Caenorhabditis elegans: one gene and its partners. Each later gene encodes a partner of the first gene's protein in a complex. Each region holds a gene or a part of one and is shown on either strand. Other genes may lie near its edges.

Region 1 (7,945 bases):
CACTCTTCGATTTATTAGATGTGCCAACGTGGAACGTGTAGTGAGGCTCTTTTGGCATTCCAGCAGGAACATCCACCAGCAAATATTCAACTGGAAGTGGTCGTCCGTTTTTCATAACCTCGGCTCCGTATTCATTTTTCATCGAAAATTGAACATCAGTTATATAATGTTCTTCGGATAATGGTGTCTCTCGAACATAAGCCAATTCAGGAGTGTACAGTGTTGGACAGAGAATATCAGCTTCAACCATGGCCGCACATTGATTTGAAACTTGATATCCGTGGAAATTAACATGCATCGATTCATCACCAGATGCAACAACGGTCACAAATTTGGATCCATAGTGACGATCCATCGAGTACTCTGTGATGTTTGGATGTTGATTTTGAAGCATTGCTGCGGTGATGCATTCCTCAGCTGATAGGAAGAAGGAATCCTGAAAAATTATTCGTTTTTTGGGCTTCTCTTCGAGATTGTTCTCACCTTGTGCCGTGTATAATGTACAGTTCCTTCAGCACTATTAGCTGTCCAACAATCTGTGAAGATCCATCCAACACGTTGCAAGCCAAGCATTTCCAGCAAATTGTCAATAGTTTTTTGATTTTTATCCTCCAAAAACTCAATTCCATCTTCACGGCAGTGTTGTGGAGGTTCATAAATTGCAGCCACTGTAGCCTGAAAGTATGAGCAATGAAATAACTCGTCTCAAGAAATGAGTGATGAAGTACTGAACTTACCTTGATTCCTAGTGGAACTTCAAGGTGAGGCTGATACTGTCCAATTAAAAATCCAACACGCTGATGGCCCGATAGTCTCCAATAATCCAAAAACTGATTTACAAGCTCTTGATTTTCAATTTGAATGTTATCAACATGACGAAACTTTTGACGATTCAATGTTACAACCTGTGGTTTGCATTTAGTGCAAATTCCTTTCGGGAACGGCTTGTGAGCATCACAGTTGGGTTTTAATGAACATCGAAAGTTTTCCAGCGGTTTTTTGAGAGTCGTGCCCTTCCCCTGGGATCCAAGGAGCTTGCGAACATGTGCATGGAAGCTCATATGCTTGATATCTTTTTCTTTCAAATATTCTTCATCGAATGGCTGTAAATATTGATATTAGTTTCTATGAAAACAACAGAAAATATCACTTACATCAACAGGCAAACAATTAGTGCACTTTTGACGTACAGGATGCCGACAGTTGGGCCCTTTTGGACGCTGAATTTGACCATCTTGCGTGCTTAAAAAAACATCAACGTCGTTGACACGCTCAGTTTGAGGGACTTCAATTACCATATCTGAAATAAAATAGATTTTTAAATGCAGGAAGATATGCCTTCTAGGTAGTGAATTGAAGATATATAATTTTGAGATTTTGCAAAAATAATGCAGCGGAAAGGGTATCAAATTAGTTTCCATACATATTCAAACATTAAACAGCAAATGAAATAAAACATTTTGTTTTTAGAATAAAAAATGTCATCAAAACTGCCTAGACAACATGAATGACGAGCAAATGCGTACACAAAAAACCGTGCGGCACTCTTGCGAAATCCCATGCAACGCTTGCAATTTTCTTTTTTCCATCACATTTTCCAATTCCTTTCATCAAATTTTACAATTAAAAAAATGTTTTCTCTTAATTTTAGCGTACCTTTTCGAATTTAGTTTGACATTTAAATAATATCAATATAAAAACCTTCTTTCAGTAATGTCTCGACGCGTGGAATTCGATTTATCCACTGAAGATCACTCTGATCGTCGTCGCACCAACACCTTTTCTTGTAAGTTCACAGAATGCTATTTTTCAGAATTGATGAATAAGAGTAAAATGAGTTGAAAAATGTTAAAATTTGAAACAGTTCGAAAAGACTGAAGACTCGGTCCTTTTTTGATTAACCGATTTATTTTAATTCGGCAAACAGACATTTGGAGAATTTGGTCTGAAATAATTTTGCATAAAAACTGCAGATTAACATTCCATGAGCAAAATACATAAAATTCAGAAAAACCAAATTTTCCAAATACTGTTACAGTGAAGAATCAATGCCAATTCTCAGAACTCCCTCATTGTATATGAAAATGACTACTTTTGTCATTTTCAGTGTTTTTCGGTGTCGAATATCCTCAAATCTCAGATTAAATGAATCACAGCTTTATTCATTTGAAAGAAATAATAAATGAAAAGGTGTTCATAAGAGTTCATAAGAAGTTAATCATTTAAAAGCCCGAGAGAGAAGTTGAGTATCAGAGGATCAATGATCGTGCATTGTGAAATCTTTTCAAAAGAAAAATTGATAATCAATCAATAGAGTAATTCTATAAACATATTTATGGTAGTTATTTAGGTGCTTGTTAACAACACAAACTTATCTCATTTCTTAATTTTTAACAGCTTCAGCCGATGAGGATGGAGTTCCAAATGAGGTCGCCGACTACCTGGTCTACTTTTCCCGCATGGTTGACGAACAAAATGTGCCGGAAATTTTGACTCTCTACGATCAAGCTTTTCCAGATCTCACCGAGAGGTAATATTTAATAATCTCAAATTGTTTTCTATTTATCTTTTAATTTCAGATTCTTCCGTGATCGCATGTGGCCCGATGAGAATGTTGTCGAAAGAATTATTGGACCTGGCAACAAGTTGTTCATAATTCTCTACAAGGAACTCTATTATCGCCAGCTGTATGCAAGAAATACTCGTGGACCACTCCTTGTCCATCGCTATGAGTCGTTCATGAACTATCAAGAGTTATTCTCTGAGCTTCTCTCAAGCAAGGATCCAATTCCATTGTCTCTCCCTAACGTGTGGCTTTGGGATATTATCGACGAATTCGTCTATCAATTCCAGGTAATATTTTTTGGTAGAGTTTGTACGTAATATAAATATTCAGGCATTCTGTCTCTACAAGGCTAACCCAGGAAAACGCAATGCTGATGAAGTTGAAGATCTCATCAATATCGAAGAAAATCAGAACGCGTGGAATATCTATCCAGTTCTCAACATTCTCTATTCGCTTCTATCAAAATCCCAAATTGTGGAGCAGCTCAAGGCATTGAAGGTTTGTTTAATTCAATATTATTTTTTTGCTTTCAACTCTACAGTCGTTCCAGGAAAAACGCAATCCGGATTCGGTCGCCGATGAATTCGGTCAATCGGATCTCTACTTCAAGCTTGGATATTTCGCTCTCATCGGACTTCTCCGCACTCACGTTCTTCTAGGAGACTATCATCAGGCTTTGAAAACCGTGCAATACGTGGATATTGATCCAAAAGGAATCTACAATACAGTTCCAACTTGCCTTGTTACTCTCCATTACTTTGTTGGATTTTCTCATTTGATGATGAGAAATTACGGAGAAGCTACAAAGATGTTCGTCAATTGTCTGCTTTATATTCAAAGAACAAAGAGTGTTCAAAATCAGCAGCCATCGAAAAAGAACTTCCAATATGATGTTGTGAGTACTTTCTAAATTTTTTGCACAATATTTGCACAATAATTGAATATCTAATGAAGACCCAATAATATTCTGCCGATTTCAGATTGGAAAGACGTGGGATCAGCTTTTCCATCTTCTTGCAATCTGCCTCGCCATCCAGCCACAAAGAATCGATGAAAGCATTGCTTCTCAGCTTTCGGAGCGATGTGGTGAGCGTATGATGCACATGGCGAACGGGAATATCGATGAATTCAGAAATGCTTTTGCTACTGGGTAGGAAACGAAATTAGTCAAGTAATTGTATAGTATTGTATTGTTGCAGATGTCCAAAGTTCTTGTCTCCAACCACAGTTGTCTATGAGGGAGTCAACCAATCGAAAGAACCACTTCTTCGTCAAACTCAATCTTTCCTGGAAGGTATTGAATCACAGATGGCGTTACCAGTTCTTCGTGGATACCTGAAACTTTACACAACACTTCCAACTAAGAAGCTTGCGTCGTTCATGGATGTTGATGATGAGCACTATGATTCGTTCATTGGAAAGCTTCTCACTTACAAGGTATATATAAGAATTTCCGATGATCTCGAGTGTTGATGTAATATTTTGAATTTCAGATGATCGTCAATGAGCTTGGCAAAGAAGCCGGACCATCATCAGCAGACGACGATGAGCCACAAACAGATATTGACTTTTACGTAGACCGTGATATGATCAATATTGCCGATACCAAAGTTGCTCGTCACGTCGGTGAACATTTCATTCGACATATTCAGAAGTTGCAAGAGGTTCAGGATGTGCTCAAACGACTCGATATCCAGAAACCATGATCCTTAAAAAGTATTTGAGCTAAACGAAACATGACTGGTTGATTTCCGGTTAATTTCGTTTAGTTTCACACCAACTCCCACTCGTTTGTTAACATTATATCTCTTGTTGAAAATTAAAAACATCTCTCCGTTTATTTATACCACTTTCTCCTGTTGTTGTCTTTTCGTTTTGGTCCTAAACTTCCTTTTTTTCTCTTATCTCCCAATTATTTTGTATCCATGGTTCATAATAAGTTTAGTAAATTTTTTTGGTTTTTCTTATGAAGTTAATTTATGATTGTTTATATTCTACGCTCATCGCAACTACTTCTCAATTTTTTCCGAATAATTATTAATCTCTCTTACGAGTAGTCTTGTATGTACAGTGATAGACTGTACTTTGACCTATAGGTCCATGGTTTTCACCTAGAACGTAGTCTTATGTGTATTCTCCCACTAGTTATGCCTGCGTCTCCAGTCTCGAGGGAAGATAAGTAGAACAGGAGGACAACAACAATCTTTTCCATTGATCCCGATTTTTTTTCCCGTTTGTTTTCAAAATTAAAAAAAATTATTGTTTCTCTTCTTGGCTCGCCGAATTAATTCTAAATTTCGGAGTTTCAGATTCTACAGTAATCCTTTGAAGACAGTGTCAATAATAAAATGTTCAACACTGGGTGAGTTATATAAATAACTTCCCGTATAATAAAGTTCTGATTCTACAGAAAATTTGTCGGGCGAACAGTTCTGATTACTGGCGCTTCTCGAGGAATTGGAAAGGAAATCGCACTGAAATTGGCAAAAGATGGTGCAAATATTGTGGTGGCAGCAAAGACAGCCACAGCTCATCCAAAACTTCCTGGAACCATTTACTCTGCTGCTGAAGAGATTGAGAAGGTAATATAGAAAATTGCTGGATATAAATAATTTTAAGGAAGTTTTTTTAAACAAAAAACAATTATTTCTAGGCCGGAGGAAAAGCCCTTCCATGCATCGTCGATGTTCGAGATGAAGCTTCTGTGAAAGCATCAGTTGAAGAAGCTGTAAAAAAGTTCGGAGGAATTGATATCCTTATCAACAATGCTTCAGCAATTTCACTTACCGACACAGAAAATACTGAAATGAAGCGCTACGACTTGATGCACTCGATCAATACACGTGGAACATTCCTCATGACAAAAACTTGTTTGCCATATCTGAAATCTGGAAAGAATCCGCACGTTCTGAACATTTCACCTCCACTTTTGATGGAGACTCGCTGGTTTGCTAATCATGTTGCCTATACAATGGCCAAGTATGGAATGTCGATGTGTGTTCTCGGGCAGCATGAAGAATTCAGACCACATGGTAATATATTTGAAAAAATATTCGATTTTTGAAAATCTCGAAATATTTTTAAAAAATACGTACAGTGAGTACTGTAGCTCCTAACTATCCGAAGTGTTAGGGGCTACAGTCGTTTTTCGGTTTTTTTTTGAAAATCGAAAAATTTAATAATATAGTTCTCTTTCGATGTTTCAAAAATCAGCTTAATATTTTGGCCATTATCCCTCTTTTTAGAAGAAATTTCTATGTTTTTTCTCATCATTATAAGCAAAATTAGATAAAAAATTTTATAATCAATTTTCTGAACATTTTTTCGATTTTTAGATTTTCCATAGAATCGAAAAATCGAAAACTTTCGATTTTTCGATTTTCACTGAAACACATCGAAAAATCGAAAAAGTCGAAAAATGCCACCATTGGATACAGTACCCCGTAAAGGTGCACATACTTTTGTACGTACCGAGTACCATATTTTTGTGTAAGAAATTTCAGTATATCGAACATTTATAATAGTAAAATATTAATTTTCATCGTTATTTTAATTTCCATAATTCAGGTATTGCTGTGAACGCTCTATGGCCACTGACCGCAATTTGGACTGCTGCAATGGAAATGCTTTCTGACAAAGGAGGAGAAGCTGGAAGCCGTAAACCATCAATTATGGCTGATGCAGCATATGCAGTTCTATCCAAAAACTCCAAGGATTTTACTGGAAATTTCTGCATTGATGAAGATATTCTGAAAGCTGAAGGAGTTACTGATTTTGATAGGTAATTGCTCATTTTCTGGATAATTGGAATTTATTAATTTTTCCAGATATGCATGTGTGCCAGATGCTCCATTGATGCCCGATTTCTTTATTCCTGCAGGAACTTACGATCACAAGTTCTCATCTGGAGCACAGATCGGAAAAAAGAATAAGACTCACGAAGCCGGAGTTGTTGAAGAAGAGATCAAACAGATATTCACATCTGCAAAGCGCCTGCTTAATGCTGATATTGTAAAGAAAACTGGATTCGTGTATGAATTCTTGTTAAAAGGTCAATTCCGTTTGAAATCTATAGTTCTATATGAATTTCTTTAGACCCAACTACAAAAAGCGAGAGAATCATTACTTTGGACTTGAAAAACGGAGAAGGAGCACTGACAGATAAGAAGGCTTCAGGCAAAGCTGATGTTAAATTCACACTTGCTCCAGAACATTTCGCTCCACTCTTCACTGGAAAACTCCGTCCGACGACTGCTCTGATGACAAAGAAGCTCCAAATCTCCGGTGATATGCCAGGAGCAATGAAATTGGAGAGCCTTCTCCGCAAGTTCACCGAAGGAAAACTGTGAATAACTGATGCATTTTGTAGAATAAATTGAAAACTTTGGAGTATTTTTTTATTTTTGAATTGGTTTTTTTGTATATTTCTTGTAAACATGATAATTTTATTTGTAAATTAATTTTTAGATATGATCTTTTGAATGAATTTTCAAAGTTTGAACCGTAATTCTAGTATGATGTGAGCCGAGATACTTAGTTGGTGATATTACCCAGACGCGACTTTTGCAATTTTTGCGCCAAAAATACGCAGCCCAGTCTCGACACGTTATTTTTCTGTACAAAACGAGTGGGCCTTTAAAGAGATATGTAATTTCAAACTAATTTAAAGAAAACTTTTCATATTTGTCGATTAAAAATGTAAAAACAAATTTTAACATTTTTAAGTACTTTTTGAAGGAACACACCTTTTCGCATTTAACAAACACGTGCCGTGTTGAAACCGGGCACCGTATTTTTTTAAAATTCGACATTTAGTAATTCTGAATTAACTAAAGATAAAAGTTTCATAAGATGAAACACATAAAATCAATTTACTTTAATCAGTGACAATCTCGTTTCCCGTATCCAATACAAGATTTTATTGTAACTGTAATATAATGAATTACAGTCAATAGACTCTGATCGTTCAACTGTCAAAAAATGTCATCAATATTCGTTCACTCTATCTGATTTCTTGTTTTCTGCGCGTACTATCACCTCATTTATCATCATTTATGTTATTTATTCTTTTCCTCCAACTGTTTTCTATTTTATTTAATAATCGACCTCACTTCCTTTTTTTCAGAATTCTAAAAAAGGTTTCTTCCATCTACAAAGTTCTGACGTGAAAGAGCCCAGAAAATCACTCTGGAGCAAGGGAATTGGATACACATGGGAACTTAATATAAATGAACTTAGACAAACTTAGGAATATACGTCACAAAGTGAAAGAATATCACGTCGAGGTGGCCGCCCGTCTACATAATTCGGTTTCACAGAGTTATTGTGTCAAAAAATAAACTTTATTATGTGAAGCTATGTAAAACAAAAAATAGCCGA
Region 2 (6,495 bases), on another chromosome or scaffold:
GCACAAAAAAAAATTTTTTTTTGAAAAATTTTTTTCTCTCTATTTTGTAGGATATAATTAATTCGGTGAATTCACAACTTCAAATGTTCATATTGCTGTTTCCGTGCAGTTATGAGTTTCGCAGTGTCTTAGGAACATTCCATTTTTTGTTGCATTTTGTAGGAATTCGGAGCTATCTTATAATTTCTACAAATTAGAAAATCCATTTCACATTATTTCATGTAACTTGAACCTATTGCTTCAAAAATAGCACAGAACGAATGTTGATTCTGTTTCTTTCATTAAAAAATGTGCTACTGTGCATTTTTTCCCACTTCTACGACTTTAAAGGCGCGCGCATTTATACAAAATGGTCCCGTCATTGGTCTCGCCAGCGCTCAACAAATCAATGGGATGCGCGTGGCGAGATTATTGCGCGAAAATTCGCGCGCCTTTAAAGTCGTAGAAGTGGGAAAAAATGCACAGTAGCACATTTTTTAATGAAAGAAACAGAATCAACATTCGTTCTGTGCTATTTTTGAAGCAATAGGTTCAAGTTACATGAAATAATGTGAAATGGATTTTCTAATTTGTAGAAATTATAAGATAGCTCCGAATTCCTACAAAATGCAACAAAAAATGGAATGTTCCTAAGACACTGCGAAACTCATTACTGCACGGAAACAGCAATATGAACATTTGAAGTTGTGGAATTCACCGAATTAATTATATCCTACAAAATAGAGAGAAAAAAAATTTTCAAAAAAAAAAATTTTTTTTGAGCAAAAAAAAATTTTACTCTATAGGCAGTCATCCCCATTTTTCTTCGATTCCTTGTTCATAATCGAGAACTAATGCATTTTGAAAAAAAAGCGATCAGTTGTAACTGAAAGCTGTCAAGTAAGCCTAATACAATGAAAATGAGCAAAAAAATTGACTTTGTGCTCTTCTGGAGCACAAAAATGCTCCATGTCGGCATGGGAATACATTTTTGTAAGTATGGGAACAAATGTATGTGTGGGAATGTCGGCATGGGAACGTTCGACTACTGGATGTAAGCATGGGAATTTTGTATGCACGGGAGAAAATGTATGTATGGGAATGTCAGCATGGGAACGAAAAAAATGGGAAAAATGAGTTGTAGGCATAGGAGTACTTCGACTACTGGATGTAAGCATCAGAATATTTTGTATGCACGGGAGAAAATGTATGTATGGGAATGTCAGCATGGGAACGAAAAAAAAGGGAAAAATGAGTTGTAGGCATAGGAGTACTTCGACTACTGGATGTAAGCATCAGAATATTTTGTATGCACGGGAGAAAATGTATGTATGGGAATGTCAGCATGGGAACGGAAAAAAAGGAGAAAAATTAATTGTAGGCATGGGAGTACTCGAACTACTGGGCGTAAGCATGGGAATTTTGTGTGCACGGGAGAAAGTGTCAGCATGGGAAATGTGTGCATGGGAAATGTGAGCATGGGATAGATTGCCTCGAAAAAACGGTAATTTGGCACGCGGCACTTCCCACACAAACACACCTCCCACGCACGCCAATAATTTTCAGATGTATGATTTTTATGTTAAATTTTAAGTTAAAGAAGTGAAGAAGCGTTTTTGATTGTTTTTGTAGCATATAAAAATTTTCTGTGTCGACACTGGCGCCTAGCAAGAACCTTTGAATTTTTCATGAATTCAACTTTGCGAAATTTACTCAGTTTTTTTGGTTTCGCAAGGCGTAACGACCCACAAAATTATCCGAGCTCAATTTTCTAAAAAAATTCTGGAAAGTCAGGTCAAAACGTCTCGAAAAATACTAAAATGAATTTTTCTGCATACTGCTACTCGCCGCTCACATCCATCTTTCTGGCGACTATGCCATTCAAGACTTAACCTACTGCCGCAGTCCATGACAGAAATACCGTGATAGAAATTATTTGGATTTTTGTTTTTAAAGAATCTCTAGACCAAGAGCATTCTTTGAACTATAAAACTTGTAAGACACTTGATGGATTCCTCGAGAAAAATGTAGAAAAACCGCAGAATGCCGACTTGCGTGCCATAAAGGTCGTGATCTCAAAAGTTCTGAAGGCCTGCAGCGATGCGGATGGGAACATTTTGAAAATTCAAAACGTTCATCTGGTCAGTATTTTATGGAGAACAAAACTTGTACAAATTGATGTAATAACTCTCTTCACTAGTAAAGTTATAGAGCTGCAAACGTGTTACCATACTTTTGGCCCACCCTGTAAACAAGATAATTTCATTGAAAAATGCAAAATTAAAGAAGTACCATAAACTTATTTGCGCGTCGAGACCAATCTGGATGAATCCATGCGTCTTCGAGAAGACATGCTAAAATCTTTTGAAATTATGATAATATTTCTCGCTAGATCATATTCTTCAGATTATATACTGTTCCACGTCACTTCGATCGGCAATGGTTTGGTGGGCTTTGACACGATCTGGTTACAATGGGAAGATCTATTTTGGCGGGTGGCCTGAATGGGTAGTCAGAGCACCTGACGGTTTGAGAGTCATCGGAGCAACGACGGAGACTTGACGCTAAAAGAAGATCCATGTTAAATATTATATGCATAAAATGCGGGTAAAAGTGAATATTGAATAAAGTTCATGAAAACATAAAGGAAATATAAATAGGAAAGGGAATAGAAACGGGGGAAAACCGAACAACAGAAACAAGGGTATTATAATTTGAATGACAGTGATAATTGATATTAAAGAGTCAACGGGGGTTGAATGCTGGTCAGAAGATCGGCGACATCTGAAAATGATAGATGCACTTGAGATTTTACTAGGCATTTTAAATTTGTTCTTCGATTATTAGGACATTTTTTAAATCGTTTGAAAAACCTAATACGCATAATACTCACGTGGGAATTGAATTTTCTCGTCGATATTTCTTGTTTTGATAGTTCCTTCGTGATTTGCAACAAAGAAAACATCTCCATTTTCCTTGGCTTCCCATCCGAATGATTGTGCCAGTGCGGTAACTTCCTTGTCACTGGCTCCGCCGAGAAGACGGCTCAACATTTTCTTTTCGATTTTTTGGAACGTAACACTGATGACGCGACAAGCATCTGAAAACTTGGTATTGAAATTGTCAAGCAATAAAAATAATATTTAACTGACAGTGCTTGACAGCATCCTCGAATCCGACCATTGGCTTGATCATTTTTGGGACTTCGCCAGGAACTTTGAAGGGTTCATTTGGGTTCGTTGTTGGCTGAAATTTTAAAAATTGATTAGTCGTACGCCGAAATTAAAGAATATTCCAAAAATAAATAGATTCAGCATTGAAATAAATACTGAGTTTCAGATGCACACAAAACAAGGTTTGATTTTGAAAAGCTCACTTGTTTCAATATTAGATAAATCTATTCTTTGAAAAGTGTAAAAACTCACTTTATACGCCCCCTTCACCAATTTCCAGAAAACAGCGAAGTTGCAAGATTCGAGCACAGCTCCAAGATCAAAGATTCTGCGAAGTTCTTGAGATCCGAGTCTGTTGGTGTCGATGAGACACTTGGCGAGAGCGAAATCACTCGATGGCAAAACCATCAACGTCTTGAGCAAAACTTGTCGAACAACAGCCTCGTCGTACCTGTGAAAAATTCTCTTTGAAATTTATTAATCTTCTTGAATACTTACTTCTCCGGGTTAAGCTGGTAGAGCTTGAGAATGGTCAAAACGATATCTTTATCGTACTTGTTTTCATTGACCATAGCTTGAACGCAGGCAGCCAAGTCGGCAACATTTTCCGGATTGTATCGGTTTACTCCTTCGATAGCTTCGTGCAATTCCTTTTGCAGTTTCTCGAACGACATCTTAAAAACAAATTATAGCAATTGAAGAAAAGAAACTCTGCGAGAAATAATAAGTAGAGTGAAACTCCTGAACAGACTCGATGAAGTCCTGCGCAAAGTGAAAAAAATCTTGCATAAAGTTGCGCACATCTTTTGTCAAATCGATTAAAATTACGCTAAGTTTCTCCATTAATTAGAAAAAAAGCTACAGAACACATCAAAACTGATAGAAAAATATTTAAGAGAAAGAAAAAAAATTTTCTCAATCAAAATAACAATAGTTTTAAAGGCGCATCGAATAAATCTGAAGGCATATCCTGCACAGATCTTCCTCGATTTTAGAGGCACTCCCCATTTGGGTTAAGAGATTTCAGTGAACTCGATTTGCTATCAGACAAACTGAAATGGAGACGTTTTTCCAAGTTTTTTTTTCAGTTTTTAATGAGATTTACATTAGAAATAAGAAAAAACTATTGTTAGAGGAAAACTCAGCGTATGGGTTTCGCCACGCTGATATCGGGTTACTGTAACTGGTGTCAAATTAAGGGCCACATTTGCCTCATAATTTTCAAATTAAAGGAAAAATTTCTGTTACGATTTATATAATCAAAATTTAATGCAAAATCCATAAATCGACAAAAGTTACAGTAAGTCGTCGTCTGCGTGGTGAGACCAATGTGCGTAAGATATTGAAAACTCGCATTTAAGGTATACGTAATATGAGGTTTTGCCAGAGAATATAAATATATGAAAATAATTAAGATATGATGACGGAATCAAACCGCTGTATGAACAAAATTGTACAAAATTCAACAGTAGTAAAACAAATTTTTATTATTTTTCTTTACTATCAAAAGTAACTGTAACAGGTCCGTCATTTACAATATCGACGCTCATCATTGCTGCAAATTTGCCGTCCTGAATCTTATCAGCTTTGTAAGCTTTTTTCATGGCTTCAAGAAAAGAAGCATAAAATTTTGAAGCTTCTGTTGGGGCCATTGCGGTATGAAAGTCCAGTTTATTTCCCTAAAAAACGAAATAATATGAATAGTTTTGTTTAAGTATATTAGACAAAACTCACTTTAAACTGACCGTAAAGGGTGAACTGACTGACAGACAGCACTTCTAAATCGAGATCCATAACTGATTTATCCCATGGTTTTTGTTCCGAAGCAGGGAAAACTCGTAGATTCAAAATTTTCCTAATGATATACTTCATATCCTCTTCCGTGTCATCTCGATGAACTCCGACAAGCACACACAGACCTCTTCCAATGGAACCTACCTGATTATGATATTTTAAACAATAACGGTTAATATATTCTTACCACTTCATCACCTACGGTGACTGCAGCTCGAGTAACTCGTTGAAGAACTACCTTCATTTCTGAAAAAAATTGAAACAACTAATGTTAAAAATACAAAAAAAAACAGATGAAAACTATTGAAATGTTCTCTTGAAAACCCTAAAAATAAATGAAAAATGTTTGCTAAACAGAGCGCGCTAACGACACTCCACCGTATTACTAGTCCTCAAAGGCTCGGCCAGCGCGACGTGGAATCTGTACACGGTCTCCTTCACAAGAAATGTACCAACTCTCTCGCGGTTTGCTTGCTGGCCACCTTGCCGTTGTTTTCAACAGGAGTTCTTAAATTTGAGCAGAAATCGATGATACGGTAGACTGTAGCAGCTATAGCCTTGATTGTAGAAAGTGGATGCACTTCATAGATTTTGAGCATATATAACTCTGTTCATGTTTGAGATAGAGACTAATGATAAACTGACAAAATGAGCATTACAAAAAGACAGACATTTCTTAAGTTGAGAGTTTTTTGATATCTCTTCTCAATAAAAAGATACGACCATAACTTGATGGCTGTGGTTTTACATGCCACCCTTAATTAAAACCTTACAATCTCCGTTATCTTTAAAGATACAACAATTTTATTAACCAAATATTATGACAAGCAGATTTAAAACAATTTTTACTAACAAGAACTACATTTCTATATACAAAAAATTATGGGGATTTTGACATTTCCAAGTTGGCCATCTTAAACCGGCTATACCACTAAGTCCTGAAACCTGAAATTGATATTTCAATTGGGAACTTATTTTATATGAGATATCTAACAATTTTGTGAATACTTTCTTCTAACTTTTAAAAAAAGTATTTCATGAACTGTTATTTGACTTTCTAATCAATGTAGCTTTTGGGGACATGCAACTAGTCTGTCTTACAGGTTAGAAAAATATTGTCAACTAAAGAAATATTAATCATTTCAAACTGAACATTTTGTTATGTAGTTATCAGCTCTTCAGTAAAGAGGGTACTGTAGTAGCCAGCGTAATCTTTGGACCGAAATTTCTCTCTTTTAACTCAACTAATAAGTTTTTCCATTAGCCGCTTTTCACTTTAAGCCAACTTTTTTTAAATTCAAAAAACCTTCAAAAATCGACAATGTAGTACTGAGTTAACTTAGTACTACATTGTCGACTGGAGTTGATATTTATCCTTTAAATTACTCTTTTGTATACAGACATTTTTATATGTCTTATACTTCAAAAGGTTCAACAAAAATGTCTACATACTAGAGCCGGACGGTAGATCAATATGTGCAAAATAAATGAGATCAGATGTAGGAGTGAGAGACGCAGAGACCGTATGTTTCTCTGCCGTCTCATCTTG
Region 3 (8,592 bases), on another chromosome or scaffold:
CCTCCAACATCATAGTCGTCACCATCAAGCTCTCCGATCTGAAAATTAATTCATTTTTTAAAACTGGGTCAGATTAAATCTCAAAAATAATAAATAAAAGTAGAATGTTTTCTGGTAACACATAATTTTCTTGAAGTTTATTTTTCATAAAAATGAGTTTATTTAGAGGAAACCGAAAGATTGAAAAATTTTTTGAGAAAACTAAAAAATGTATGTTTCATTAAATCAAGTCTTGTTTATGTTGAAGATTATTTTATTCTAAAAAGAGGAAAACTTGCCAAAACTTAAAGAATTTTCCGAAAAAAAAACTAAAAAACGATAATTTTCGATTTTTTAATTTTTAAAAATTAAAAAATTTTCAATTTTCAATTTTCGATTTTACTGGAAATCTAAATTTTTTCGTTTTCTATGAAAAGCCGATAAGCGAAAAATTTGATTTTTTTAAAAGTTTTTTTTTGATTTTCCGGAAAACCAAAAAATCTAAGAACAATTTTTTAAAAAAAATCTAGTCAAAAAATCATTTTTTTTTAAATCAAGTCTTTCTTATGGTAAAGAGAAAAAATTAAAAACATATCCTTTCATTCTAAAGAGAGGAAAAATGGCGAAAATTTATGGCATTTTTCGAAAACTGTTCGATTTTTAAATAAGTTTAATTATCATATTTTTCAAGCCAATAATTCTGAAATAATACCTGATCGGTGTTGTATTCACGATCCATGAGTTCTTCAAAAGCATTATCAATAACTCTTTGATCAGCTCTTTCAACTCTAATCTCTCCAACAGCCTCTTCTCCAAATAACTCGTCATCATTATAATCATCATACATCTCATCGTCTTCATCGTCATCCTCTTCTTCTTCCGAATCTTCACCTCGTCTTGTACTTCTATAAACTGTAGTTCTTTCATCAAGAAGACCACCAGCAAGTGTGATAAAATTATCTTCAAGTTCTCCGGTGTTACGATCATCTGTCACCTCTTCCAACGCATTTGCAACATCTTCGTCAAAAAATTCCGGTTTCTTAAGAGCACCGACAAGTCCGAAAAGTGGTGGAGCTGGTGGGAATGCTGATGAACCACTCGTTTTGATGGTCGTTTTCTCGACTTCTTCATGAACATTTTCCAGCTTCATCGGCTGAAAATTTAAATGATTATTTTACCAATACAAGAAGATTGTTTTTCGATTATGTTCTAAAAGAGGTGATCGAAAAATTGTTTTTTTTTTGATTTTCCGTAATATGGAAAACTTTTTTTTAATCATCCATAAAATTCAATTTTATGAAATAATGTAAAAAATGCTGATTAAAAAAACATAGAAATTTTTTACTTAAAAGAAGTACAAAGACCAAAATTTTAAGCTATTTTTTGACATATCCTAAAATCTTTTGATTTCATTGAAAAATCGAAAAACAAACACTTTTTTTTAAGTTTCGGTATTTGATCAAATTGATTTTAAGATGACAAACCTCATTAACAGCTCGCATGTGCTGCAAATAATCATAATCATCGTCGTAGTAGACTCCATACTTTTGCTGTTCCTCCAAATGTTCTTGAGTTGGCTTGAATCGTTCACTTCTTTCCCTATTATCCGGAACCAATCGAAAACTTTGACTGGCTTTCTTATCAATGAATGCCTTCCTTTTACCCATTTTGAGGCGAAATTTATGTTTCCAGTAACCTGAAATATGAATTCTATGTTAATTTTTTGTTACTTTTATTGTTGGATCTGAGAAAATAACTGATTGGACAGAACCGGGGCTCATAAAAAATTACTTAAAATTGGACGAATCAAATTAAATATTTCATTAAAATAATATCCGGCAACCCAATATAAATAATTAGCAAAAACAAAACAGTATGGAAAGAGTATAACTTAAACACTACTAACCGGAAACGAAAAATGAGAGCTTTAAAGTTCAGATCTCACACTGAACAAGGAAAAGTGGGAAAGGGTGGGGGATTACCAAAAAAACTGATCAATTAAATAAAAGATTCAACAAGTATTGGCGCCTGCAAAAAGTTTTTGAGACTAATTGCAGGCGCCATGAAAGGCGTATTAGCGGGTTCCACGAATGGGAGAGACGATTGAAAAATGGATATTTAGAAGGCTCGTGGCTTTTGAGGATGACGACGTTGCTGACCACCTTGAGATCCCCAATTTCCTCGCTTTCCGTCTTGTCCTTGTCCTCCACGTCGTTCTCCTTGGTATCCACCAGATCCTTTCTGCTTATCTCCTTGCCGCTCGTTCCTTCCTGGAAACCACGATCCTGGACCTTGATAACCACCACGTCCAGTGCGCGGCTCCAGAATTTGTTCATTGTTTTCGGCAAGAGTTTGAAGTTTGTCAGACAAGTTGAGAGCAAGCATTTGAAGTCTGGAAGGTTCAACACGGTGCATGATGAGACAGTCGGTGGGCTCGTCAAGTGTAGCCGAAAGTTCCTCTTGGATGATCATTTTACTGAAAAAATAAAAAAAAATTATGTACTGTCTAGTAAAATATTACAAATACCTGATGATGCTATGAACATCTTTCTTTGAAAGTTCGAACAAATCCGCAAGCTTCTTGAGCGAAACAGTGGCATAAACTGTAGAGTATGTGAGCAAATAAGTTCTGAGAGATTCCTCTTGAATACGTCTCACAACCATTCCCTTAACAGTCTCAGCGTTATGGAAAAGATTCCAGACCTTCTGGTTCATCTTGTCATTGACGATATAGTCTTGACACTTTTTCCAATCTCCATTCAACATTGCTTTCGATGCGGCGACAACATGTTCACGGGTATTCTCTGGTGGTCCAGTGAGAGAAGCTTTCTCGCTTTGCTTCAATTGGTAATGGAAACTTCTGCTGAGCATACGACGACGCATTTCGAATTCGCAACTAGCCATGTGTGGAATTTCGAGAAGCATCGAACAGATCAGATAGACACACTCCATAAGTTCAACATTGATGTGCATATGATATGGAACTTGACGGGAACGATCAATCTTCTCTTGTTCAGCAGTCTTTTCGTGCTGACGAGTTCCAACAGCTTGAGCAAGCAACTCCTTGGCACGTTGGGTATTTTGAATTTCAGATAGTCCTTGATGAGCTTCGCGAATGAAACCGTGTCGGAAAGCGCAGAGACCGAGTTGGCAGATAGTTCTGTTGTAGAGGATTTGAGTGTCGACATCAGAATGATCAACGATAGCTTGCATGTGACTCATAAGAAGAAGATCTCTGGCGCGGTGCCACTTGTCATGAACAGCCAGATAGTAAACATGGCAGAGCATAGCACGTTGTCTCAATCGTTTCTCATCATCAAGTGTATAGATCTTATTACACAAGTAATCCATCAACTTTCCAGCATCCTCCTCATTTTGATCTTGATATTTGTAGTAGGCATGCTCGATGCGCATCATGTACACTTTGCAAACTTCGTGTTTATCGAAAATGCCAGAATCGTTACGAAGTTCAACGTACTTCTCGGCCTTTTCAATGAGTGAGCACATATCCTTCTCGGCCTTCAACTTCTCGATATAATCATTGGAATGACAATCGGCGTTTTGAAGAATTTTAGCCAACTCTCCGTCCAATCTTTGCACAGCAATCAGAATACTTCCTTGAATGCGATACTCTTGAGTGTCATCCTGCAAATATTAGGATTTTTATTAATTTTAGGAATGCAAGTATTACCTTCAGATTTTCATCTTCTTCAGCATATGTCACAGATAACTTTACACGATCAGTTCCGATGAGAAGATCGAGCAAGCTGTTGACGGTTTGCAGAGTGGTCATGAATGTTTCGTACTCCATGTGATCACTAATTTTAGCGTTCAATTCGAAAAGAGCCGAGATTATGCAGAAACTGATTTTAACGTTGATTCCTAGACCAAGTTCTTTCTCTTCCGATACCTCCAAAAGTTTTCGAAGATTAGCAACATGTTGATTACGATCTGTCGTTCGTTTTCCACGAGCCGACATAACCTCATTGAGTTTCTTAATCATAACGTCATGAGTAACTTCTTCCTTGGGATCAAAGTGAACAACAGACTTCTCACGATTAACTGGAGTCCAATCCGCATCATCGTCTTCCTCGACAGCTTCTTTGACTCTGATAACTCTCTTCTTCTTTTCTTTCTTGTCATCTTTGCTCTCCACGCGGAATTCTTTTTTCAAGAAATACCTACGAAGTTGCTCCATCTTAGTCACACTGTCTTCGTCATCAGAAGAATTGGATTCTGGTTCAGAAGACCAGTTAGAGGAGTCGTCATCGTCGCTGTCACTGTCACTATCGCTCACTGCAGCTTTCTCAGATGGTTTTCCAGGTGACTTTTCAGCCTTCGATTCAGAAACCTCTCCAAAATCATCGTCGTCTTCATCTTCTGGAGTTTCATATCCATCCTCGTCAGGATTAACGCGATAATCGGTAACAAGATCTTGCAGTTGTTGATCCTTGATGTATTTTTTCAGTTTTTGACGAAGAGGTGGAAGAGCTTTTGCGTTGTTCTTCGAAAGAGCAGATTTAGCATCTTTATCATCCCATAATTTATTTACGTAGTCTTCGATTTCCACAAGAGACCTGAAATATTTTATATCAACTACTAAGTTTTCATTAGCATTTTATTTTATGATGTGACTGTAAATTAAAAATATATCTCACCTTATGTAAAATCTTGGATTTGCGACATTCTGACGTTGAAAGACCGTCTTGGACTTATCATAAGCTTTGGCCAGAGAATCAAAACCTGTTAGAAGTCTGTTCAGATCTTTGTTGCTCTTTGCATCTCGATTTTGCTTGATAATTCCTTTCAGCTCATCGAATTTTTTGTCCTTTTGGGCACGAACAACACGCTTCTCATCTTCTTCAGGACCGGCCATGAAATCGAGATCATCGCTGAAAGATTAATCAATCTTTTGGAATTACTTTGGAGATTATAATTACCGAAATTTCGCGCTTTTGTTCACTTTTTGATCCTCTACCTCATCCTCGCTGGACGAAGTGTCGGAATCAGAGTCCTCCTTAGCATGGAAGAAGCGAGACATTGCTGAAACAAAATTGACATTATGAAATCCCAAAACAAGAAGCAAACAAGCAGTAGATACACAATTAGACAGAAATTCCAATATTATTTAAAATTTAAAATGAATAAAACGATTTTCCCTTTGAAAACAATTCAAAAAACAGCTAATGGGTCAATATTTAGCTGAAATAAATTTAAGTGGAAGTGGAACATAAGAAAATCGTTGCAAGACCTTACTGGCGCGTTTCGCGTGCACGGGAGATGCGTCAGCACTCGCCACTTGCGCCAGTGGGCATTTGCGCGGAGATTTAAATAATAATTTATTATTTAATCACAATTCCACAATTTCAGGTTAATTTTACAGAACGAGAATAGTCTCTAAATAACTTATATATGAACCGAGTATTCAGTAAATCAATCCAACATTTAAAAAGTTTTATAATTTTATTTTCTATTCAACGTAAGAACATCGAAGAAAGACGTATATAAGACAGGAATTTGATAGTTAAAATGCAAAGATAATCGCGAAAATGTTTTGTATTCAAAAATATTATGCTACAGACGTAAACAAAGAAACAACAAAAAGAAAGAGATAAACCGAGGGCAAAATGAGAAGAAATGTGCTATAAATTAGGAAAATCGGAACGTTTTGTTTGTTCTAAACTCGAATTCATATGAAATCGTCAAGAATGAGGAAATTTGGGACCGGTAGAAAATGAAGAAAAGAAGAGAGAACATATTTTAATCAATAATACGACTATGTACACGCTAAAACAGCTTCCAACTAGACGAATTAATGGCTTTGAACGGGGATTTTTGGGATGAAAGATGGAGTTGACAGATTTATCCATTAAATCAGAAATATTCTCGATTTGAAAAAATACCAGCAAGAAGGTCGTTTTCAGGGAAGCGACTCAGCAGAGAATTCGCGGCTTTAGCTGAAAAAATGCATTGTAATTTAATTTATGAACACATTTTCGAGACACATACCTATATCTGAATTTCTATGATTCGTCAGTCCTTCCAACATCGGCCTGTCAATCGTCCAAATATCCGCACGCGTCGGGCAGTGCTCCAAAATCTTGTCACATACAACAAGCACATTGTGAATAAACGTTGGTTTCACTTGATTTCCGTTCAGCAGATTTAATGGGCAATCAATTGAATACGAGTACTGTGCCACCTCTTTTTCAGCTCCACATTGCTCCATGAGCACAAGCAATAAACTTATGGTACGTTCAACAAGTTGCTGCTTTGTGGATTGAGTTCTTGTATTGTTCGGTTGACGAAAAACCCATGAATAGGCGGCACAAATGTGTCCTATTAAATTTTCCTTCCGATTTTCATCAATAACATTCAGAACACCGTCTTTTGGAACAAATGGTGTTCGGAGTAACAGTATAAAAGATCGGAGAATTGTACTTCGAAGTTCCAATAAACCAGGTGTATCCATTCCTTCACATGATAAACAACTCATCAGTTTTTTCAGAATATCCTGAAATAATTTAATTCATTTTTATATCGTTTTTCAAATTCCAAAACGTACAATTTCGATGAATTTGCAGACCTGCTGCTTTTCATTCGGTCCAGCCGTTTTCGTTTCTCCATTGGGCGTTGGAATCCACATCATCAGGAAATTGTTCAATGTACGCAGACAATTGCAAATAATTTCACAAACTCGATTTCTTTTCGGAGCATCGGTAAGTTCATCTAGTCGTGGATACTTTGAGATTATCGTGTGAAGTAGGAAAATTGCATTGGATCGTATAGCAATATCTTTTACGTGTTGTTTATGAGCCACTACGTTACTCAGAAATCCTGTTCCACTATAGATAACTTCATCATCCGGATGAATTTCGATGAGTCTCAGTAACTGAAAATTTCCGGTTTTAAACAGTTTATTTGAAGGGAGAGAAGTTTTTTTTTAATTTGAATAGACTAAAACTAGCCTGAAACGACCGAATTTAATAATGAAACTTCTTACAAAAGTGAAGTATCACTATGGAATTAGATAGGTTTGGGGCATCTAGTATAATTTTTTAAAGTAAAAGAACACATAAATAATTTTCTAATAGTCCAGTGATTTTCTAAACGTAAAACTTACGAATGGTAATATATTCTCCAATGGAGTCTTCGCCAAGGCTTTTGCATCAGAGACCTGAAGTAAGAGCTTACATCCAGCTCTTATCAAATCATTGTTTGGATACTGTACTACAGTAGTAATTGCTCCAACTCCATCAGACCGTACGAATCCATCAATTGCATCGGAATCATGAAGGAGAAGACCCAGAAGATCAAATGTTCGGATTATAACTTGGATAAGATGAGCTCTGGAAAATTAATATAACTTGTTAGTGATGGAGGAATTTTTCATTTTTAAACTTACAATTCTGGATTTTGAGGTAATGTTTCAGGATTTTGGCCTGCAATCAATCGATACGATCCGATCATTACAGCATTCAATTTTATAATTAATCCTGTTGGCGGAGGAGGTTGATCATGTGGATTATTGTTCCATATGAAGTAATCTTTCAATCGAGTATCCTTGCTAATAATAAATCGAAAAATGATGAAAATTGCTGGATTTATCATTCCCGGGTGTACTTGAGGATTAAAGTACTCGGAGAGAGTGCCAACGAGTTTTTCGAATTTCAAATGTTGAGCGAATTCTGTTCTCAATTTCTCGTTTTTCACTCCCATTATGATACAGTTGAAAATTTGAAACACCTGATTTGCGCAGTGTTTCATGTGAGGATCTTTTTGCCAATTTAACGAAATCAAATTGCAAATCAATTCTCGAAAATCTTGTGGACCATTCTCTCGAGGACAAAACATTTGAACAACTTGATGAATATATGGTGAAATAATGGGTAGAAATGTGAATCTTCGAAGAATATCCAACAGATTATACCAGAGTTGAGCCTGAAAAAATATGATTTGAAATCTGTAATTTGTGTTGAGACTTACATAATATGAAATTGGAAGTTGAACTGGTTGAGGTTTCAGACCATCGTAAATTATGTTAAGGATTTGTTGTACGCAGTTCTGAAAAAAATTACAGATTTTGTAAAAAGAATTCCAACATTTTTGGAAAACTCACCGGCATATTTGCCTGATCAACTTGTGCAAATTTATCTTGTCGTATCCAAGTTCGTATTGTTTTTGCCATATGAAGTCTTTGCATGGGATCTGGTGTATTAAACCATAGCTGAAATTGAACTTTATCAAGATTCATTATTGATTTTTCAATTACAAACCCTAATTGCTTGTTCAGCCGCTTGTGTTATATTCATTTGCATCATTTCAGGATTCACATTTTCACATGTTGAACCATTTGATGAGTAGCATCGCTGAGAATCGGGAAATTGATTTGTCATGGTTGTATTCACACTGAGCATTGACATTCGATCGTCTCCTTGATGATATGACATAACTGATGGAGCAACTGGTGGAGCAGGAGATTGAGAATATGGCCATGCTTGATTGTTGATCCATTGTTCTGTCCGAAATTTTTGATTCTGTGCGGGAGCCGCTGGACCTCGTGAAGGTGACGGTGACGAGTATAGTTGCCTGAAATAAAACATAGAAAGTTTT
Region 4 (7,116 bases), on another chromosome or scaffold:
TCTGTTTTAAAATACCTAATTTTCAAAAAAAAATTGAATTTTCAGGCTCACAGCTCAGTAATATGTATGGGACAACGTAATTTCTACAAGCGAATTCCATGTAACTGGTCATCTGGATACAGTTGGACAAAAACAATGATTCTCTCAGTTGTGCTCGGCGGTTTTGGAGCTGATCGTTTCTACTTGGGACTCTGGAAATCTGCAATTGGAAAACTTTTCAGTTTCGGTGGTCTTGGTGTGTGGACTCTTGTGGACGTTGTTCTGATCGCAGTTGGATACATTAAACCTTACGATGGATCCATGTATATTTGATTTTTTTTTTAATTTTCTTTTCCAATTTGTGTAAATACTTCCTGTAATAAGCTTAAGCTTCGGGTGATTTCTGATACTCTTGTTATTCTCCTTATTTTCGTCTTTTTGAAATTGCCATTTTTCCATTAAAAGTAATAAATATTTCTACAAAATTCGATTGTAAACTGTTTGAATATGAAGTAGATTATTACTCAAAAATATCTTTTTTACATGAATTTTCAGTTTTTCTATTTTTCTTTTCCAAATTTTCCAATTTTAATTTCCAGCCGAAATATGATCGGCAAGGTGGCTGGAACCGCGGCAATCGCTGGAATATCTTTCCTCGCTGGAAAATATTCGAATGACGATCTGCCAATCTTCAGGAATGTTCAATCAGCCACCAATGTTCCAATGGTTTAATAAAAATCTTCTAGAATCCTGAAAAATGCCGCTTTTGCAGAATCAAATCCAAGTTTCGGAGCCAATGACCGTAAAACCAGCATCTCTAAATGCTGATGCAATGGGACCATCTCGTTCGGCAGAGATCATGAAGCACGGATATCCCGGATTCACAAATGTTCGAACTTATGAGGATTTCGTGCTTTCCTACGATTATAAGACAAGAACTGCACACTGGGTTAGTAGAAAATTATGAGAAAATATATTTCAAAAATCTATACCGGACGCCAAGTTTTAGCGCCAAAAATACGGTACCCAGCAGGGCTACTGCAAAAATAAATCTTCCACCAAAAAAAAATTTGTTTCATTTTTGCTGAATCAGTGTTGTAATTTATTTTTTGGTTTTTTGTCCCGAAAAAACCAAAAATTTTTTTTTTCCAAAAACAAAGGCAGCTTTGGTCTCGACATGCCTTTTGTTTTTGTATAAAACAAATGGGTGTGCGCCTTTAAAAAGTACTGTCATTTCAAACTATCATAATTTTTATTTTTAGTATTTTATTTTAAAAAATATTTATTTATTTAAAAAAACACATTAATTTTAACAATCGTGAAAAAAAACTATAAAAATCAATGAATATTCCACAACAACGAAACTTTGAACCTACCGTACTATTTAAAGGTGCACACCTTTCTACATTAAAAAATTGTCGTGTCGAGACCGGTTTTAATAAAAAATTGAATTTCCAGGTCTGCGAACATCTTACACCAGAACGATTAAAACACGCAGAAGGTGTGGATCGGAAGCTTTGTGAATTCAAGCCAGATATCACTTTCCCGCAGAAATTCCTTTCTCAAAATACGGATTATAAGGTTAGTTCTTCGTAATTATTACATAAAAAATATTTCTGAACCATCCAATGTTTCAGTGCAGTGGATTCGATCGTGGACATCTCGCCGCCGCTGGAAATCATCGGAAGAGTCAGTTGGCGGTCGATCAAACTTTTTATTTGAGCAATATGAGCCCACAAGTTGGACGAGGATTCAATCGCGATAAGTGGAATGATTTGGAAATGCACTGCAGGTTGGTAAAATAAATAAAGTTTTTTGCCGGGAAAAAAACGCGAAAAATGTGAAATAATTTTTTTTCTCGTCGACGAAGTTTTTCGCAAAAACACGTAACTCTAAAGAATTTTGTTTTTTGAAAAATTAATACAATTTGAAACTTTTGGAAAATTTTTTTGAGAAAAAAAAACGAAAAATCTACAGCCCAGTCTGAAACCAGCTGGTACCAAGATTTTTCTTTACAATACTAAAAATAATTTTCTACAATTTCCAGAAGAGTCGCAAAAAAGATGATCAACTCCTACATAATCACCGGTCCCCTCTACCTTCCAAAACTTGAAGGAGATGGAAAAAAGTATATCAAGTATCAAGTTATCGGTGATAATAACGTTGCAGTGCCAACTCATTTCTTCAAAGTTGCTCTTTTCGAAGTGACACCCGGCAAATTCGAGCTGGAATCCTATATTTTGCCAAACGCAGTCATCGAGGATACTGTAGAAATTTCCAAGTTCCATGTTCCATTGGATGCTGTGGAGAGAAGTGCGGGTCTTGAGATTTTCGCTCGTTTGGACCCTAAGAGCATTGTGAAAGAGAACGGAGCAAAGAAGGGAGGATTACTTTGGTGATTGATTGGATTGTGATTCCGGTGAATTTTAGGTTTAGGTTGTTTTGTTTTTGTTTCACAAATAAATTTTTTGTTAACTTTTTTGATTTACTGATTGAAAAAACTTGAAAACTCAATTAAAAAGAACAATACCAATAGAAATTTTAAAATCTTAACTTACTATTAGTCAACAACAAAAATTCATCCGAAATAGGGGAAGGTGGAAAAGGATACCAGAAAGGAATTTCATACGGCAAAAAAATTTGGATGAAAAACAATATCCCTATATTGAAAGTGAGACATTATTTTATGTCACTAGTTTTATGTAATATGAAATTCCTTTCACCGAGAGAAAAATATTTTAGAAAAGAAAAAGTAAATTAAAGGGAACAGGGAGGAAACAAAAACACGAGTATATTTGGGAATCTTAACGAGTCGATGAGACAGAGCTCAAAGTTCTGTCTTTTGTTCCGGCGACTTTCTCCTCAGCAACAGCTTCAGCGATGAACATTTTCGTGATATTTTCGCTGGTCACAGTCTTCGAGAAGTCAGCGAGAGCGTTGGTGTCAAAACTGGCGAGAAGCTCATCCAAAAGTCCATTTCTTGTTTGGAGTTGTGGAGCCTTGATTCTCTTGATGTCATCCATTGGAATTGTTGGATCACCACGGGCCACACGTGATTCGTTCTCCTGTTGCTGAAATTGGAAAAATATAAATTTTTAATGATAGAGATTTTTTTTTCGAAAATCGTGAATGGCACCTTTATTCCACCGAAAATGTACCCCTCACATCCGGTTTTATAGTTAGTGGAGCCTCGATATGTTGGAAAATGGTTTTCAAAAAACAAGACTTTAGGTTTGAAAGCCGTTACACTTCGGAATATAAATTTTAGCGATACAATCAGGATATTTTTAATTTCAAAATTCGAAATTCTTACTCTTTTCTGCGTCAGACTGAACACCATATTATCATGTCTTTGCTTGTCAATAGTGTACTTCGTCAACGACTGAATTGACTTGTTCAGCTCATCAACATTAGCCATCATAGCTCGGACCGACTTTTCAAGCGACTTCTTGGATCCCAAATCGAAGTGTCTCGTGGAGTACTTGTCAGAAGAGCATGATTTAGCGAGTGAAAGCTCAGACATGAGAACATTGTTGAGATATGAGGATTTGATGATGATTGGCAACTCCTCGAACATGTTCTGGTATGTCAAACCAGCGGCTTTCACCCTGAAAAGATATGTCTTTGCAAATATATTTTTAAACTCAAAAACCATACAATTCTGGTCTCCAGTCATTCTTTGAAGCGAGATCAAGAGCAGCGGTGGAAAGACGCCAGGCTCTTAGAGAAAGCTGTCCTTGGCGAGTCTTGATTGGATCTGAAAGCAATTAGAATTAATTATTTATCCTCATTAATCTGTCTAACCATAAATAAGAACAACATTTTCTGGGCCCATAGCCTGGTAATCGAACATAGATTCTACGAGATCGTGTGAGAAACCGGCTCCGAATTGATGAGACTGATAGAATCCAACGATTTCGTAATCGATATTCATTGTACGGAATTTGCGGAGCATGTCAAGCATCTCGTGTTGCTTTTGCTCTTCGTATTGTTGAGCGGCCTATAATAGAAAATATATTGGAATCACTAGCATGAGCTAATTTTACATTAGCATCGTCATCCATAACTGGCTCGTTGCGAACTGTTGGGAAGCAATTGGTGATTTCCAAGCGAGAATCTTCAAGGAAAACAAGACCGGTGAGAACTCCGGCACAAGCGTCTCCAGATACCTGTAAATTACATGTTAAGCTTGAAATTAAATTAAAATAATATACCTCACTAATTCCTGCATGAAGTTCACTGTCCACGTGCTTCACAATTTTCATAACCACAAGCGAATCCAAAAGGATATGCTTGACGCTCGGAGCGGTAATTGTCACTGCTGTCGACATTTTTGATAACCCTGAAAGATGAGCATTTAGTTTTTCAAATTTTCTAAAGAACAATAAACAATAACATGCATCTCACAAGAGGAAAAATCAATAATCTAAGCATCACGAATTTTTCGAAAGAAAATTAAAAATATAAATTTCAGAAAATTGGCGAGAAAAACCTCAAAATAATCAATAAAATCTTGAAAATAGGAAACACTCCACGAAATTAATTCCTTCCGTTGTTGTGTGCAACTGCGCGTCAATTGTAGTGCATGCACACAATTGCACACCGTACCCGCGCGTGATCTTTTGATTTGAATTCAAATTTTTGTCGTTCTTTTGTTTTTGGGATTTACTTTTTAAAATGCTTTTTGAAACTTTTTAAGAGAAATTGTATATTTTCAGATGCAATCGAGTGCATCCAACGACCCTAATAAACCTACAAATAATGAAATAATAAAGGTAAGCGCATTTATGAAAAAAAAATCAATAAAACACAATTCTTAAATAAACTAGCTTTATTGGAATCCATTTGAAGATTTAATATTATAACCAAATGCATATTAAAAAATAATTGTAAATTTGTTTCAGACACCATTGGTTCCACCAAGTCCACGTGGAGGATTAAAACGAATGGCGGGAATGAGCCAATTGAAATCGACTTTTTCAATTTCTTTGGAGGTAAAACCCTCAAGTTTCCAGCATTTTTGTTTAATAATATTCATAATAGTCTCAGAGAACAATCCCACCACCATCATCGTCCTCATCCTTCCTATCCCATTCAACATCGATGGTTTCTGTAGCAGCGAGTCTCAAAAGAGCCGGTGTACCTAGTCTAACTCGAACAAAGACTAGTGCATTACCCATAAAAATGGAGAAAAAGCCAATGGTTCCATTGCGGATAGAACAGGACCACCAGACACCGATCCGAAAACTGGCTCCGGAGAGTATTCCAAGCCTGGAAGATCAAGTAACACCGCCAATGCGTCGATCTAGTAGTGGATCAATGCTGTTGAGACAGACGCCTGAAAGGATTCGAAGGCAAGAAGAAGATGTGGAAACACCTGGTTCTCCAGTTAAAAGATACCGAAGATCCGGGTCAATGCCACGATTAGAGGCCCAGTCCCTTGATGTTCCAATACGAATGGAAATTGGAAATAGCTTAACTCCTGTGTTAAAGAGGAAGAGAACATCTTCATTAACGGTAATATATTCAACTGAATCATATCAGAGCTGGGCGGCAAATTTTTTTTCGAAAAATTCGGCGAATTTCCGAAAATTTGATTTTTCGGCAAATGCCGATTCGCCGGAAATTTCAATTCCGGCAATCTGAAATGTTTTCCCGTTTTTCTAGATATTTTCATAGAATTTCCTTACTTTTCAAAATAGAAGTAGGAACATATTTTTTTATATTACGGGAACACAAAATACTGAGAACGCGTATTACACAACATATTTGACCCGCAAAATATCTCGTAGCGAAAACTACAGTAATTCATCAAATTACTCCTGTAGCGCTTGTGTCGATTTACGGGCTTGATTTTGGAAATATCTATCGATGAATAAATAATTTTAATTCATTTCGAGAATCGAGCCCTTAAATCGACCTACAGTAGTCATTTAGATAATTACTGTAGTTTTCGCTACGAGATATTTTGCGCGTCAAATATGTTGTGAAATACGCATCATCAGAATTTTGTGTTCCCGTAATAGGAGGCGTACAATTTCGCGTCTTTAACTTGAAATTCTGAAGTTTCCAATAAAAAGTGCAACAGCACAGTTTGCCGAAATGCCGGAAATTTCAATTCCGGCGATTTGCCGATTTGCCGGAAAAAATCGTTTGCCGCCCAATCATATAAAACTAGTTTCTGAAAATAACAAAAAATATTATTTCAGTGTCTCTTTTCATCCGACATGCCACCAATTTTAACTCCACAACGTTTACGTCCACGTGGCATTTCTGAGACCCGTACCATCGATGATGACGTGTTCGTTCCAAAATCACCTACGAAAAAGCCAATAACTTCGCCAATCAAAAAACGAGTTCGTCAAGATTCGGAAAATCGTTCGACAAGTCCCCTCAAAAAACGATATATCTCGTCGTTTTCGATTCGGCTCGAAGAGGAAAAGGAAATTGAAAAAGGTTTTTATGAAAGCCTGAAAAAAAATAAACATAAATATGTTTTAAAAATCCTGAATAATAGAAAATAGCCTCAATATACCTATAGAATTTTTTAGATTTTTCAAGAAAAAAAAATGAAAAGAGCTGAAATTTTTGCGTTTTCCGGCTATTTTTATTGTTCTTTTTTTCTTTATGTTTTCTTAACACACAATTTGTCAAATTTTCACAATTTTTTCCGAAAGAAACTCGATAATCTGGAATAAATTTCCTAAAACTCTGAAAAAAATTCGATATTTTACAATTTATTGAATTTTTTATGCGAAACAGAATATGAAAATCTGGCAAACGATGGTTTTTATTTTTAGAAAAAATATTAGACATGCATGTTTAAAAAAAATTGCAGAAAAAATATTCCGTTTTTTTTTAAATAATTAAGAAAAAAACGTTTCCCTGTCACATCTTTTAAAATATTTAAAATAAAATCCATACTTTGCAACTTCACAGAAATAACCAAAAAGTACCAAAATAATGCGAAGTGACAGCTAAATATTAACTTATTCATGCGAGAAACAATTATTTTCGGAAATTTGTTTTAAAATTGCATCACTATATTGAAAATAAGGTTTTCTTTTTTTCAAAATTTTCACAAAAAAATTTTAAATTTAAATATACATTCTCTATAACTCTTAAAATTTCAGCAGT

The links.
Region 2: eif-3.L (region 1) and eif-3.K share a complex: the UniProt entries of both Caenorhabditis elegans proteins name them as parts of the eukaryotic translation initiation factor 3 (eIF-3) complex.
Region 3: eif-3.L (region 1) and eif-3.C share a complex: the UniProt entries of both Caenorhabditis elegans proteins name them as parts of the eukaryotic translation initiation factor 3 (eIF-3) complex.
Region 4: eif-3.L (region 1) and eif-3.H share a complex: the UniProt entries of both Caenorhabditis elegans proteins name them as parts of the eukaryotic translation initiation factor 3 (eIF-3) complex.

The regions. Positions count from the first base shown.
Region 1 is NC_003280.10:5,616,250-5,624,194, reverse strand, and holds eif-3.L (Eukaryotic translation initiation factor 3 subunit L), read left to right. Parts: upstream 1-1,713; coding exon 1,714-1,786; intron 1,787-2,397; coding exon of another isoform or gene 2,398-2,403; coding exon 2,404-2,530; intron 2,531-2,579; coding exon 2,580-2,853; intron 2,854-2,896; coding exon 2,897-3,064; intron 3,065-3,107; coding exon 3,108-3,461; intron 3,462-3,546; coding exon 3,547-3,716; intron 3,717-3,765; coding exon 3,766-4,003; intron 4,004-4,059; coding exon 4,060-4,272; downstream 4,273-7,945. Other genes in the region: npl-4.2 (Nuclear protein localization protein 4 homolog 2), read right to left, coding at 1-436, 484-675, 738-1,103, 1,155-1,298; dhs-6 (Hydroxysteroid dehydrogenase-like protein 2), read left to right, coding at 4,915-4,928, 4,977-5,148, 5,220-5,598, 6,134-6,347, 6,394-6,617, 6,662-6,915. UniProt on the Caenorhabditis elegans protein: Component of the eukaryotic translation initiation factor 3 (eIF-3) complex, which is involved in protein synthesis of a specialized repertoire of mRNAs and, together with other initiation factors, stimulates binding of mRNA and methionyl-tRNAi to the 40S ribosome.
Region 2 is NC_003283.11:12,951,333-12,957,827, reverse strand, and holds eif-3.K (Eukaryotic translation initiation factor 3 subunit K), read right to left. Parts: upstream 3,827-6,495; coding exon 3,651-3,826; intron 3,604-3,650; coding exon 3,405-3,603; intron 3,226-3,404; coding exon 3,132-3,225; intron 3,080-3,131; coding exon 2,873-3,079; intron 2,764-2,872; coding exon 2,717-2,763; 3' UTR 2,599-2,716; downstream 1-2,598. Other genes in the region: mpst-7 (Rhodanese domain-containing protein), read left to right, coding at 2,386-2,541; pqn-68 (D-aminoacyl-tRNA deacylase), read right to left, coding at 4,640-4,831, 4,887-5,090, 5,134-5,190; T16G1.18 (uncharacterized protein), read right to left, coding at 5,805-5,891, 6,399-6,491. UniProt on the Caenorhabditis elegans protein: Component of the eukaryotic translation initiation factor 3 (eIF-3) complex, which is involved in protein synthesis of a specialized repertoire of mRNAs and, together with other initiation factors, stimulates binding of mRNA and methionyl-tRNAi to the 40S ribosome.
Region 3 is NC_003279.8:9,974,641-9,983,232, forward strand, and holds eif-3.C (Eukaryotic translation initiation factor 3 subunit C), read right to left. Parts: upstream 5,023-8,592; 5' UTR 5,021-5,022; coding exon 4,920-5,020; intron 4,872-4,919; coding exon 4,638-4,871; intron 4,557-4,637; coding exon 3,671-4,556; intron 3,625-3,670; coding exon 2,507-3,624; intron 2,456-2,506; coding exon 2,098-2,455; 3' UTR 1,786-2,097; downstream 1-1,785. Other genes in the region: T23D8.3 (Protein LTV1 homolog), read right to left, coding at 1-38, 692-1,132, 1,464-1,646; Beta-catenin homolog sys-1, read right to left, coding at 5,854-5,936, 5,989-6,493, 6,545-6,871, 7,103-7,328, 7,385-7,920, 7,966-8,043, 8,099-8,206, 8,256-8,568. UniProt on the Caenorhabditis elegans protein: Component of the eukaryotic translation initiation factor 3 (eIF-3) complex, which is involved in protein synthesis of a specialized repertoire of mRNAs and, together with other initiation factors, stimulates binding of mRNA and methionyl-tRNAi to the 40S ribosome.
Region 4 is NC_003279.8:4,441,924-4,449,039, reverse strand, and holds eif-3.H (Eukaryotic translation initiation factor 3 subunit H), read right to left. Parts: upstream 4,322-7,116; 5' UTR 4,311-4,321; coding exon 4,194-4,310; intron 4,149-4,193; coding exon 4,026-4,148; intron 3,980-4,025; coding exon 3,784-3,979; intron 3,737-3,783; coding exon 3,637-3,736; intron 3,588-3,636; coding exon 3,293-3,587; intron 3,051-3,292; coding exon 2,784-3,050; 3' UTR 2,427-2,783; downstream 1-2,426. Other genes in the region: TM2 domain-containing protein C41D11.9, read left to right, coding at 46-312; cps-6 (Endonuclease G, mitochondrial), read left to right, coding at 586-705, 752-928, 1,438-1,560, 1,617-1,771, 2,027-2,378; C41D11.3 (Cysteine/serine-rich nuclear protein N-terminal domain-containing protein), read left to right, coding at 4,698-4,754, 4,884-4,973, 5,023-5,496, 6,189-6,435, 7,113-7,116. UniProt on the Caenorhabditis elegans protein: Component of the eukaryotic translation initiation factor 3 (eIF-3) complex, which is involved in protein synthesis of a specialized repertoire of mRNAs and, together with other initiation factors, stimulates binding of mRNA and methionyl-tRNAi to the 40S ribosome.